Cricetulus griseus: one gene and its partners. The protein of the gene in region 1 binds, or shares a complex with, the protein of each later gene. Links are inferred from orthologs where the notes say so. Each region holds a gene or a part of one and is shown in the gene's direction. Other genes may lie near its edges.

Region 1 (4,248 bases):
CTCCAACTAGGACCCTAAGCAATAGTAGAGAGAGAGGCTACCTTAAATGCCTGTCCCCTATAATGAGAATGATGACTATACCTTAAAGGTGGCCACCCTAGAGCCTTCAAACAGTAGCTGATGGAAGCAGAAGCAGAGATCCATAGTTAAGCACTGAGCCAAAGTCCTGGAATCTAGTTTCAGAGAGGGAGGAGTGATGAACAAAAGGGTCAAGACCACGCTGGAAAACCCACAGAAACAGCTGACCTGAGCAAGTGGGAACTCATGGACCCCAGTCTGACAGCTGGGGAACCAACATAGGACCAAACCAGGCCTCCTGAACGTGGGTGTCAGGAGCACTGGGAAGTCTATGGGGCCTCTGGCACGATCTATCACTAGTGCACAAATGGACTTTGGGAGCCCATTTCCCATGGAGGGATACTCTCTCAGCCTAGACACACAGGGGAGGGTCTAGGCCCTGCCCCAAATGACTTAACAGATTTTGATGTTCCCTCATGGAAGGTCTCACCCTCCCTGGGGAGTGGATGGGGGATGGGAGGTGGTGAGGGACATGGGAGGATGGGAGAGGGAACTGGGATTAATATGTAAAATAGGATTGTTTCTAATTTAAATAAAATCTATATATATAAAAAAACCCACACTCATCAACAGTCACTCCCTATGTTCTCTCGCCCTGCTACCAACCGCTAATATGCTTCCAGTTTTTGTGGATTTGCCAGAAATGTATGTATATTGGTCAGGGTCTGATAGGTAGCTCAGGCCTCAGGCTGGCTTTGAACTCGCTATTTAGCTGAGTGGTCTCTGGAGCCCTTCTCTCCAGCCTGCTTTCTCCATCTTGTATCATATTTTCGAGATTCTCACGCTACATTGTATGCCGGGACTTTATTCCCTTGTGTTGATCATATGCTATTGTGTGTATGCACATAATTTAATTACACATTCATATTTGGGTAACTTCGATCTTGAGCCTCCTCAAGACAGAAAAGTAACCTGTGAACAGCAACCCATCGTCTTTCACGTTAGTTTCTCGTTCCAGATTGAAGCGGGACACCTAAGGAGAATTCCTCCTACACCACTACATTGCTCCAGTTTCTGCTCTTCGGCGCTTGAGCCCTGGGCGCACATGCGCACATTCGTAGAGCGGGAGGTGGGGAATGTCCCGCCCCGCCCACTAACTCGCCGACGCTGACTCTCTTGTCGGGTGGGGAAAATGCAACCAATCCGCCAGTGCGTCTAGGGAGCGGCGTTCCACAGTGGTGGATGAAGTCTGATGACGCACCCGCCCTCCAATCGGCACGCGAAGGGCTGGGCTGGCGTCCGCTCGTGAAACCACATGACTCGAGCCTGGGCCGGAAGCTACCTACCCCGTAGCCAGCGCCCCGGGCATCTACGGCTGCGATGGTGAGTGAGGACGCATGCGCGGGCGTGCGCCGCTAGGGTTCCGCATCCCGGTTCCCCAAGCTTCGGTTGCCCCCTTATGGCCCGAACTCCGCTGTCACCTCCTGGGATCCAAAGGGAACGGAGATGGGAGGGATGCGACGGAGAGGGATGGAGAAGGCTCTACCACTGGGTGTTCTGCGGCTGGGGAATAGCCTAGATGGCACAAGGGGTGGAGCACAAGGATCTGGAGCGAGAAGGGCCCCGAGGAGGGACTAGGGGGCTAGGAAGGCCTCCTGGGTCTCCTACGAGCCAAGTGGAAGAGCTCGGGGTCCAGTATGACCGCGGGTGGGGACGCAGTGTTACAAGCCGCTTGGGGGGTGTAGAAGGGCCATATCCCGGAGGAGGATGGGTCTGCAAGGCTGTCACGCGTCTCACCCCTTGCCTCTTTACCCACTAGACTTCCGCACTGACCCAGGGGCTGGAGCGAATCCCAGACCAGCTTGGCTACCTGGTGCTGAGCGAAGGTGCCGTACTGGCGGTGCGTTGTGGGAAAGCGAGGCGTGCGCGCACGGCTCGGGGTGGGACGGGGGGTTGTCCTTTTGGGATACACAGCCAGAAATCCCTTCACATATTGCCCAGTTTGTCCCAGTGGTCTATTTTTGTCCTCTGTCTGGCTCCCTGCTTGAGTAATTAGTGTCTGGAATCCAAGTCTCTTGTTTTATGGTATAAAAGAGGTTTGTTACCAAAGGGCTAGCTGGGTGTGTAGCTCAGTGGAGAGAGTTAATTTGCTTAGCACGCACAAAACCTTGGAAGGTGAAGACAGGCTGAAGTTCAGGGTAATCCTTGGCTACATGTAACCTTGCCTCAAAACATTTTTTACCAACTTTTCTAAAGTCATACAATTAGTTTGCTGTTAACTAATCACTTGGTAGTATGTTTTTATTCAGTATATCTTTAAAACTCACATGGGGTCGCATATGGGTGCCACAGCCGGTGGGTGTCAGAGGACAACCTTCAAGGAGTGAGTTCTGCTTCCAACATGTGGATTCTGAAGCTTGAACTCAGGTCTTCAGGCATTGAGGCAAGCACTTTTATGCTCTGAACCATTTCACCTACCCCTAGAACTTTTTTTTTTTTTTTTTTTTTTTTTTATGGCAAGAATCCTTTAGAGGCAGGAATTGAGCTGAGCTGCAAGGGGCAGAAGGCCGTGAAGGAGGAAAAGCATACTTAGGGCTTGGAACCCTCGACATAATTGCTTGAGTGTGTCTGGCCCTGTCTGGATTAGTTGTGGCTTTCTGTTGAAATGGTTTGAGCAGAAAGAATGGTGTGGTAAGAACCTTACAGTGAAGGACTTCCTATGGCTAGCGTTGACATCTTTAGATGAATCTTGAGTTATTTAAATAAAACATGACTCACTCAAGTGGTTTTACAAGACTGTTCCAGGAGTGTCATCTAGGTAGGAAAGTAGACTGGTAGCAATAAGGAACACGGACAGAACACAGTATCTGTCTTTTAGTGTGTGTCTGCACAAGTGCACAGACATGTGTGCCTATTCATGTGCTGAGGCCGGTACAGAGCATTGGAGTCCTGCTCTTAGCACTCTCTGCCTTATTTCTCAAACCTGGAGCTAGGCTGGCAGCCCTGAGCAAGCCCCAGCAATCAACCTGTCTGTGCCTGTATACTGCTGGGGTTACAAGTGTGGCCATGCCTGACTGGGGATTTGAACTCAGGTCCTCTTGCTTGTACAGCAAGTGTTCTTATTCACTAAGCCATCTCCACAGCCCAGAGAATACATCTTAGAGGTGTTAATATGTGTTGGTAGTAACTAGATGAAAGCACTTTTGCAGGTACATTACTCATCCAGTAAGACTTTGAACTGGGAAGACCAGAAAAATACTATGGTGCCTGAATAAATAAGAACTCAAGAAAGGAATCTGACCAAGGAGGTGGCTAAGGGAAAATTTGATGGCCTGGCTGTAGATACTGAGTTTAAGGTGGACTGATAAACTTACATACAACATTTATTATGGGGTACATAATGCTCTCAATGTTTTCTCATGAAACCTTCACAAGCCCATACATAAAATAGGTCCTGTTCACCCCAATATACAGATGGGGAAACTGAGAGCAAAAAGAACTAAGCCTAGTTAATGGACCCACTTAGAGGTTGTGGGAAGAGAAAATTGAGGCAGTCTGGACTACTGTCCTATCATTTATCCCAGGAGTAGCCTGAGGGAAAGCTTCAAGATAAAGTGGGTGTTTCTGCTTCATAGCGTACAGACAGGACAACAAGTGGGAAGACTGGGAACAGGTGGAGCCTCTAAAGACTGGGCAGTTAGCTCAGAGTTGGGACATCTGCCAGGAATCCTAGGTGAAGGGTTAGTGGTGTGGCTCAGTGGTAGAGCACCTGCTTAGAGAGGCTGGGGGTATGGTAGATCATTTAATGAACACTCCCAAATTTGATTCACAGCATTGATAGCAGTAGAGTTACAAGTAAAAGTTGGTATTTCAGGACAAGGAACAGGATGGCAAAAGGGAAGGCAACACCGTCATAAAGAAGCTTTGGGTAGAATTTTTCCAATGCAGGCAACTTAGGACTATGGGAGGTCTAATGGGTATGGGAGCCTGATGGCCTGTGCCTTGAGTTTGTTCCAAACTCTAGGCTCTTACTTTTTGCCCCTACCCTCCTCCATCCACATGCAGTCATCTGGGGACCTTGAGAACGATGAGCAGGCAGCCAGTACCATCTCAGAGCTGGTCAGCACAGCCTGTGGCTTCCGGCTGCACCATGGCACAAACGTCCCTTTCAAGCGCCTGTCTGGTGAGCTCCTGCTTTTGGTGGAGGTATGGGGAGGGTTGCTTCTACAG
Region 2 (4,286 bases), on another chromosome or scaffold:
CGCTCATTCAACATTATTTTGTTGAGCACCTACGGAGCTCAATAAATCCTTTAGAGCAGAAAACTGAACAACACAACCGTTTCGATGTGCGAGCAGGAAGGATCTGTACGGAGAGAGAGTACCCTCACCACGCGACTCTCCCGGGGGAGCTTAGCCACAGCTCACTCGGGCCACACTGTGCCTCGGCGCCTGGAACCTCCACCAGTAACGGTGGCGCACTCTACCCTCAAGCCGAGGACCCTCGGGGCGCCCGCATGCCAGGTGCCTCTTTCTCAAGCTCCCCCACCACGCCCCCAGCCCTGGTAGCGTGGCCAAACCCGTCGCACCACGCTCGCCGGACTAGCCCAGGCAGGGCGCCCCCTACCCGCCTCGTCTGCCCTCGCGCAGCTCGGATCCCCGTGGGCTCCGCCCCGGCCGGGGGCCCGTCCCGCAGCCAGGCCGTCCCCGAGGTCTCCATCTCAGCGCTGACCCCGCGGTGCGCCGCTCCCGCCCTCCTCCCTCCAGCGCCAGCGGTACTACCTCCTTGACCGAGGCTCGATCGCAGATCACGATCTCCTCCTTGTCCTTGGGGGTCTTGACGGTGACCCGAATCTGGGGCCTCGTCTCGGCCCCGCTCGGCTCCGCCATGCCGCCACCCGGCCGCCCGCCAGCCCGCCCGGCTCCTCTCCCGGCCCGCCCGGCCCGGCTCGACTCCGGCGCCTCCAACTCCCCCTCCCGCCCCTCCCCAAGGCTCCGCCGCCCCCTCCGGACAGCCGCAGCCACAGCGCCCCGGGCGGCCCGGGGGGGCACTGCAGCTGGGGCGGCCCAGGACCGAGCGGGGTTCGCAGCTGGTCAGGGCAAGCTTCTCCGGAGCCCAGAGGGCGGCGTAGCGGGCGCCGAGCCTCGGCGATGCCCGCGGCTCCCCCCCGATCGGGACAAAGGACTTTCTGTGTCGCCGCCTCATCTCTGTTCCCTGGGGTAACTGGGTTTTCTTAGGAGGCGGAATCTCTGCCAGGCCTGGGGTCGTTCCTGGATCTGGACGCCCTTAACACCTCTGCAGGCATAGCTATGGCCCGAGGGGGCCATCGAGGACATCCAGAGACCTGGAGTTTGCCTACGTGGCTTCTCTGAGCCTTGGGTGTCAAGACTGCAGTACCGCACAGAATTGTGACCATCGTGCAATACTGATTTGAAAAATGGCCAAGGGTGTGCCTAGCAAACACAGATCTTTATTATTATTGAATCGCGGGCTGACTAGTAGGCACGAGGGCGCCCTTTTCGTACAAGGGGTTAAAAGTCCTTCCAACGTCGCCTCTGTCCTTGCACTCCCGCTCTCCACCCCCCCTCCCCGCCTCATGGTCTGGCGAGGAAGCCAAACTATAGTTCCCAGAATTCCTTGAGCGGTCACAAGAAACTATAATTCCCAGCTACCCCCCGCGCGGGGCGGGGATTGGGCCAGAGACTCAGTGGGTAGGCCCGGAGACTACAACTCCCAGGGCGCCTCGCAGGTAGGCTTCTGGGCCACCGGAAGCGGCTGGCGAGCTGCGGCCGGCGGTGACGGGGTGTGTGCCGGTCAGGGTTAGGAGACGCAGGCATGCTGCGTCCCAAGGCTTTGACGCAGGTGCTAAGCCAAGCCAACACCGGGGGAGTCCAAAGCACCCTGTGAGTGCACAACAAGGACCCGAGCGGCGAGCGCTGGAGTGGGGCGGCGCGCGGCTGCCTGCAGCAGGGGTAGGGAAGTAGCCCTCCACCGGGAGGAGGCTGGTCGTATGAGCGGCCGTTTCGGGAACCCTACGTAGGGCTCCCCTCGGAAAGGGAAGTCGACGAGTGCGTAGGGCATGTTCCAGGATATATTCCTAGCAGATCCTGGCTTCCTAAAAGCGCCAGTAGCGGGAACTGGAATAGGAACCCAGGCGTTTCACTCTTGCTGAGTTTGTCGATAATCCTTCTCCATCCTCGCCAGGCTGCTGAATAACGAGGGATCCTTGCTGGCCTACTCCGGTTATGGGGACACAGATGCCCGGGTCACCGCGGCCATCGCCAGTAACATCTGGGCTGCCTACGACCGGAACGGGAACCAAGCATTTAATGAAGACAATCTCAAATTTATCCTCATGGACTGCATGGTATGGAGTAAAGTAGGCTGACCTCGAACTGCAGTGATCATCTTTCCTCAGTCTCCCGAATACTAAGATTGCAAGTGTGCACCCCTGTACCTTGCCAAATAAGTAATACGTAGATATTAAAGAAGGAAGAAAGAAAAAGTGAGAGTAGGGTTCAGATAGATGAAAGGGTGACATTTCCTAAAAGATTGGAGGAAGATTGGAGAGGGAAGGGAATCAGCCATGCAGCGATCTGTTGGAAAAATATTTTTGACAGTATGGGACATGGTTTATGCCTCTAGTCCCAGCACTTGAGAGACTGAGGCAGGCAGGTGGATCTCTGCAAGTATTTCCGACAGAAAAGCAATTGCAAAGGCCTTAGGGTAGAGTGATGCTTGGACAAATGGATACTCCATCAGTAAGGATGGTGTACCACAGAATGAGGAGATAGAGCTAAAGAGGCATGCCTGGTTCCTAGCACCCTGGACAGTGATGGCATGCAGATCCGAAGCAGTTCACCTAAGGGCAAATGCCCCTCAGAAAGCTCTTCGTTGTTATTCAGGCAGCCCTTTACACCACTCCTAACCATTGCTGACTCCTGCTGGGGGCTGAATCTAGAGCTAAAGCTCCAAAGACATTCACTACAGCCCTGCCATAATAAGAGTATTTTAAAGAACTTAGGATGGAGCTCAGTAGTGGAGCTCTTTGGGGTCCTAGATCCATTCTCAGACAATTTTTGTTTTTGAGTCAAAGCCTAATATACACATTGATACACACACCTAAAACAAGTTTCAGGAAACATCACTTTTCTTGCTGCAATGTGAAGTCTGTCTTTTTTTTTTTTTTTTTTTTTTGGTTTTTCGAGACAGGGTTTCTCTGTGGCTTTGGAGCTGTCCTGGAACTAGCTCTTGTAGACCAGGCTGGTCTCGAACTCACAGAGATCCACCTGCCTCTGCCTCCCGAGTGCTGGGACTAAAGGCGTGCGCCACCACCGCCTGGCAAGAGGGTTTTTTTTAAAAATAAGTATTTATTATGTATACAGTGTTCTCTCTGCATGTATCCCTGAAGGACAGAAGAGGGCACCAGATCTCATTACAGGTGGTTGTGAGACACCATGTAGTTGCTGGGAGTTCACCTTTGGAAGACCAGGCAGTGCTCTTACCACTGAGCCATCTCTCCAGCCCTGTATGAGAGGTTTTTTGTTTTTTTTGTTTTTTTTGTTTTTTTTTTTCTTCTCTTTTTTTAATTAATTTTTATTTTATGTTCATTGGTGTTGGGGTCCCCAGGAACTGGAGTTAGTTACAGATAGCTGTGAGCTGTCATGTGGGTACTGGGAATTGAACCAGGGTCCTCTGGAAGAGCAGTCAGTGCCCTTAACCGCTGAGCCATTTTCCCAGCACCCCTTTATGAGAGTTTTTCCCAGGTGTTATATATGTGTACCATGTGCATGCATGGTACCCCCAAGGAGGCTAAAAGAAGGCTTTGGATCCCCTGAACTGGATGCACAATATAGGTGTTGGGAATTGAATCCAAGTCCTCTGCAAGAGCAACAAACAAATTGGGTTATTGTTCCTGGTACCTCACTTGTTGAGACAATTCTTGGCATTAGAGAAGAAAACCCATTTCTGGGAGACTTGGTTTCCCAGAATAACTTGATTAGGAATTGCCTGTGCTGAGGCAGTGTCAGGCCCTTATGTATTAAGAGCTGGGCAAAGCTTCCTAGATGAGTTTCCCGCCCAGCCAGGCTTGAAGACAATATCTCTAGGATCAGAGGAGCCCTGGGGAAGGTAGGAACTAAGGATGCCAAGCAGAATGCCTCAATGTATCATCCCCACTAGGAGGGCCGTGTAGCCATTACTCGGGTGGCCAACCTTCTGCTATGTATGTATGCCAAGGAGACTGTAGGCTTCGGAATGCTGAAGGCCAAAGTGAGTACATTCCTATGTTACAACCTTCCTGGGCCCAGCCATAGTCCCTCTTCACTGTGTCCATTCCCTACATGTACCCCTTTCTGAAATTCTCATATCTAGTCCGTGTCTGAAATGGGCTGAAGAGCAGTGGGGGTGGGCTGGGGTCTGGTTGATGCTCATTGTGGGGCAGGGAGCCAATTTGGGATACCTCTAAGCATAGGCCATGCATGGACTGACATGTGCTTTTCCCTCCTTGCAGGCCCAGGCCTTGGTGCAGTACCTGGAGGAGCCCCTC
Region 3 (3,522 bases), on another chromosome or scaffold:
CATGATGGCTTATAGTCACCTATACTCCAGCCCCAAGGAATCTGATGGCCTCTGTGGGTACTGCATGCACATGGTGCGCACACATACATGCAAGTAACAGCTATATAATAAAATAAAAAGAAAGTCAACAAAAATTATTACAAAGAATAAAAAGCCCTTCCTAATCCAGTCATATTATAGATCATCAGGGGAGCCCAAAGAGCCAAAGTAGTTTTGATAGGAAAGTAGCCAGGCACGGTAGTACATTCCTGTAATTCCCAGATCTGAGCTACATTGTGGGAGGCCCTATTTTAAAAAACCAACAAAATAAAAAACAACAGCAAAATTAGAGATATCAGACTTCCTAATTTCAAAAATTAGAGTGCTGCTACAATAGAAACATGGTGGTAATAGCATGAAGACCAGAATATAGACAGATTCATTCTTCATTCATTATAGATTGAAGAACCCAGAATTAAACCTTCTCATATAGGATTAGTTTCAGTAATAGGGCCAAGACCACATTTAACAAGGAAAAGTGTTAACAACAAAAAGCACATTAAAAAATGTTCTTGAATCCTTATTTTATGCCATATTTAAAAATGAGATAAAAAACCAACCAAACAAACAAAAAAAAAAGAAACATGAAGTAGAGTTAGTTTTCTATGAAGTAGTTGAGTGGAGGTTAGATTGGTAATTGATTTGTTTGTCTAAAATTCCACCTAGTGGAAGAAAACTGTGTATATATGTTTTTAACTACTTGATGTTTTATTCAGAGTGTATATTGAGAAAACATATTCAGATTTTTTGGCAGAGTAAGTTAGCCCTTGGTTATAGGTGATGCATTGGTATTAGAATTTTGAATATGTTTTATTATATTTTCTCATGCAGTAAAAAAAAAATGAGATCAACTTGGATGAAAGACCTATAATATTTAAGAACTAAAACTTTTGTTGCCTGTGTTTTGGTGTTATGTTTACGGAATCACTTTGTCATTCTTATTTTATGTCACAGAAGTTTGTAAATTTAATAGTTTATCTCTAAAGTAGTAGTTATTAGAAAGTGGGAGGAAAGAGGAAAGGAGAAGTTATTATTGGGTAAAGAGTTTGTGATAAAAAAAATTCTCAAGTGGATGGTGGTTATAGTTGTACATTGTAGATATTCTTAATGTCATTCAACTGTGCATTTTAGAATGTTCTGTAATGGGGCAGGGAATATACCCTAGATAGAGTGCTTGTTTCCCATGCACAAAGCCCTGGGATTGATCCCCTGCACCTCTTAAACCAAGAGTGGTGGTACCTGTAATGTCAGCATTTAGCTGGCAGAGACAGGAGAGTCAAAAGTTCAAGGTCAGCCTGGACTTTATAGCAAGTTTGTGACCACCCTGGTATACATTAGACCCCATTTCCAAATAAAAAACATAAAAGCCTAGCCAGGCGGTGGTGGCAAACACCTTTAATCCTAGCACTTGGGAGGCAGAGGCAGGCGGATCTCTGTGAGTTCGAGACCAGCCTGGTCTACAAGAGCTAGTTCCAGGACAGCCTCCAAAGCCACAGAGAAACCCTGTCTCGAAGAAAAACAAACAAACAAACAAAAACCATAAAAGCCTGGGTGTTGGTGTTGCATGCATGAATTTAATCCTAGCACCTGGGGGAGGCAGGCAGATTTCTTTGAGTTTGAGGCCAGCCTAGTCTACAAAGCATGTTCCTGGACAACCAGAGCTATTACACAGACCTTAATAATAGTTAATGAGGTAAATTGTGTTGTCTGTTTTTACATATACATATTCTTCAGCTGACATTTTCTTAAGGCAGTTTTAGTCTAAATAAGAATTATGAATGAGATACATAACCACAACACAATCATTAAACCACTGCATCAATTCAGTTGTGTTTTCCAGTAATAAAACAAGTTTTGGGTTTTGGGGTTTTGTTTTGGTTTGGTTTGGTTTTTCCAAGACAAGGTTTTTCCATGTAGTGCTGGCTGTCCTAGAACTTGAACTTGCTCTGTAGACCAGGCTGACCTCCAATTTGGATGTCTACCTGCCTCTGCCTCCTGAGTGCTGGGATTAAAGTCATTAATTACCACTGGCTCCTTATAAAACAAGTTGTTATCAGACACTTTTAGCAGATCATTTTCATTAGAAAGAACTTTAGTGTTTATTAGTTGATATTTACATTTTTCCTTTCAAACATATAATATCAATTATATGAAAAAATCATCTCTTTTAGGAAACATGTATAAATTAATTGCAATACAAATGTAGGTATTTTTAAGTTTTACTGTTTAGGTTATAAACCTCATTCAGCAAGTTCTATTGTTCCTTCTTTGAACTGTTGTAAACTGTTTTTAACTCAGAGAATATGGTATATACTCACATATATATATATATATTTGAAATATGAGTATGTATGCATTTATCAGATTTGAAATTAAAATGTTTTTAAAGTCTTGTAAATGAGTATTGATGATCACTGTACAACAACTGAAATGCTGGTGAACTGTACATCTAAAATGGTTAAGATGGTAAATTTTATTGCAGTTTAAAAAGAACAATGTGTTTGGAGTTAATCTTTGATATTAACCAGAAACAGGTTTATGCTCCTTTTTGTCTAAAACTGCATACCTAATTTCTTCTGAACATAATTCATGTTGGAATGACCAAATGGAATTGTGCAAAACTTGATGCTCTGAAGTTTGCTAGCTGGGTGTGGTGCTCTAATACAGCACCCAAGAATTTAAGGCCATCCTGAATTATGTAGGGAGTTCAAAGCAAGCCTCAGATACATTACAAAATTCTGTTGTTATCCCTCATGCCCTGTCTCCTATAAGGAAAGGAATTTGACATTACTCAAAAGAATTAGAATTTGTTTGCTGACTAGGTGGCCGAGTGGTTGAAGCGATGGACTGCTAGAATTTGTTTTCTAACAGAGTTTGGTTCTTCCCTAACCACAGTGTGTAATGCACCTTGAAGACCGGTTGCAGGAATTATACTTCAAGAGCAAAATGCTGTCTGAGTACCTGAGGGGACAGATGCGTGTTCATGTCAAGGAGCTAGGAGTAGTTCTTGGGTATGTATGTTCATGGTTTCTTTTCTGGCTTTGTTGTGTCCCTTGTCATGTTCCTCTGATTTGTTGTTTGTTTTTATGTGCCTTTTCCTACAAGAAGCTGTGCCCTACTAGTGTTTACGTTTCTTTTTATCTTAGAAGAGCAGATTTCAAGCCAGGCTGTGGTGGTGCACGCTTTTAATCCCAGCACTAGGGAGGCAAAGGCAGGAGGATCTGTGTGAGTTCGAGGCCAGCCTGGTCTATAGAGCAAGTTCAAGGCCAGGCTCCAAAGCTACACAGAGAAAACCAGAAACAAACAAAAAACAGATTTCTGTCACCCTTAATATAGGTGCACTGACCCTTGCAGTATTCCTGTAGCTTGTCAAGAATATAGGCAGAGGGAATTAAACTTAAATTTTTAATCCTAAAAAAAGTGTTCATGTTTTACTTATTAAATTTGTTTTAGATACATTATTGTAAGCATCTGCCCTGCCTT

Evidence for each region.
Region 2: Lamtor4 (region 1) and Lamtor2 share a complex: the UniProt entries of both Homo sapiens proteins name them as parts of the ragulator complex. The link is inferred for Cricetulus griseus from reciprocal best matches to the Homo sapiens genes LAMTOR4 and LAMTOR2.
Region 3: Lamtor4 (region 1) and Fnip1 share a complex: the UniProt entries of both Homo sapiens proteins name them as parts of the lysosomal folliculin complex. The link is inferred for Cricetulus griseus from reciprocal best matches to the Homo sapiens genes LAMTOR4 and FNIP1.

Annotation. Positions count from the first base shown.
Region 1 is NC_048597.1:116,737,368-116,741,615, reverse strand, and holds the start of Lamtor4 (ragulator complex protein LAMTOR4), read left to right. Parts: upstream 1-1,440; 5' UTR 1,441-1,477; coding exon 1,478-1,570; intron 1,571-1,831; exon of another isoform or gene 1,832-1,837; coding exon 1,838-1,918; intron 1,919-2,327; exon of another isoform or gene 2,328-2,419; coding exon of another isoform or gene 2,420-2,461; intron 2,462-4,083; coding exon 4,084-4,201; intron 4,202-4,248. UniProt on the Homo sapiens protein: As part of the Ragulator complex it is involved in amino acid sensing and activation of mTORC1, a signaling complex promoting cell growth in response to growth factors, energy levels, and amino acids.
Region 2 is NW_023276806.1:65,955,265-65,959,550, forward strand, and holds the start of Lamtor2 (ragulator complex protein LAMTOR2), read left to right. Parts: upstream 1-1,480; 5' UTR 1,481-1,573; coding exon 1,574-1,641; intron 1,642-1,942; coding exon 1,943-2,105; intron 2,106-3,919; coding exon 3,920-4,009; intron 4,010-4,250; coding exon 4,251-4,286. Other genes in the region: Ubqln4 (ubiquilin-4), read right to left, coding at 520-627. UniProt on the Homo sapiens protein: As part of the Ragulator complex it is involved in amino acid sensing and activation of mTORC1, a signaling complex promoting cell growth in response to growth factors, energy levels, and amino acids.
Region 3 is NC_048600.1:68,689,425-68,692,946, forward strand, and holds part of Fnip1 (folliculin-interacting protein 1), read left to right. Parts: intron 1-2,934; coding exon 2,935-3,050; intron 3,051-3,522. UniProt on the Homo sapiens protein: Binding partner of the GTPase-activating protein FLCN: involved in the cellular response to amino acid availability by regulating the non-canonical mTORC1 signaling cascade controlling the MiT/TFE factors TFEB and TFE3.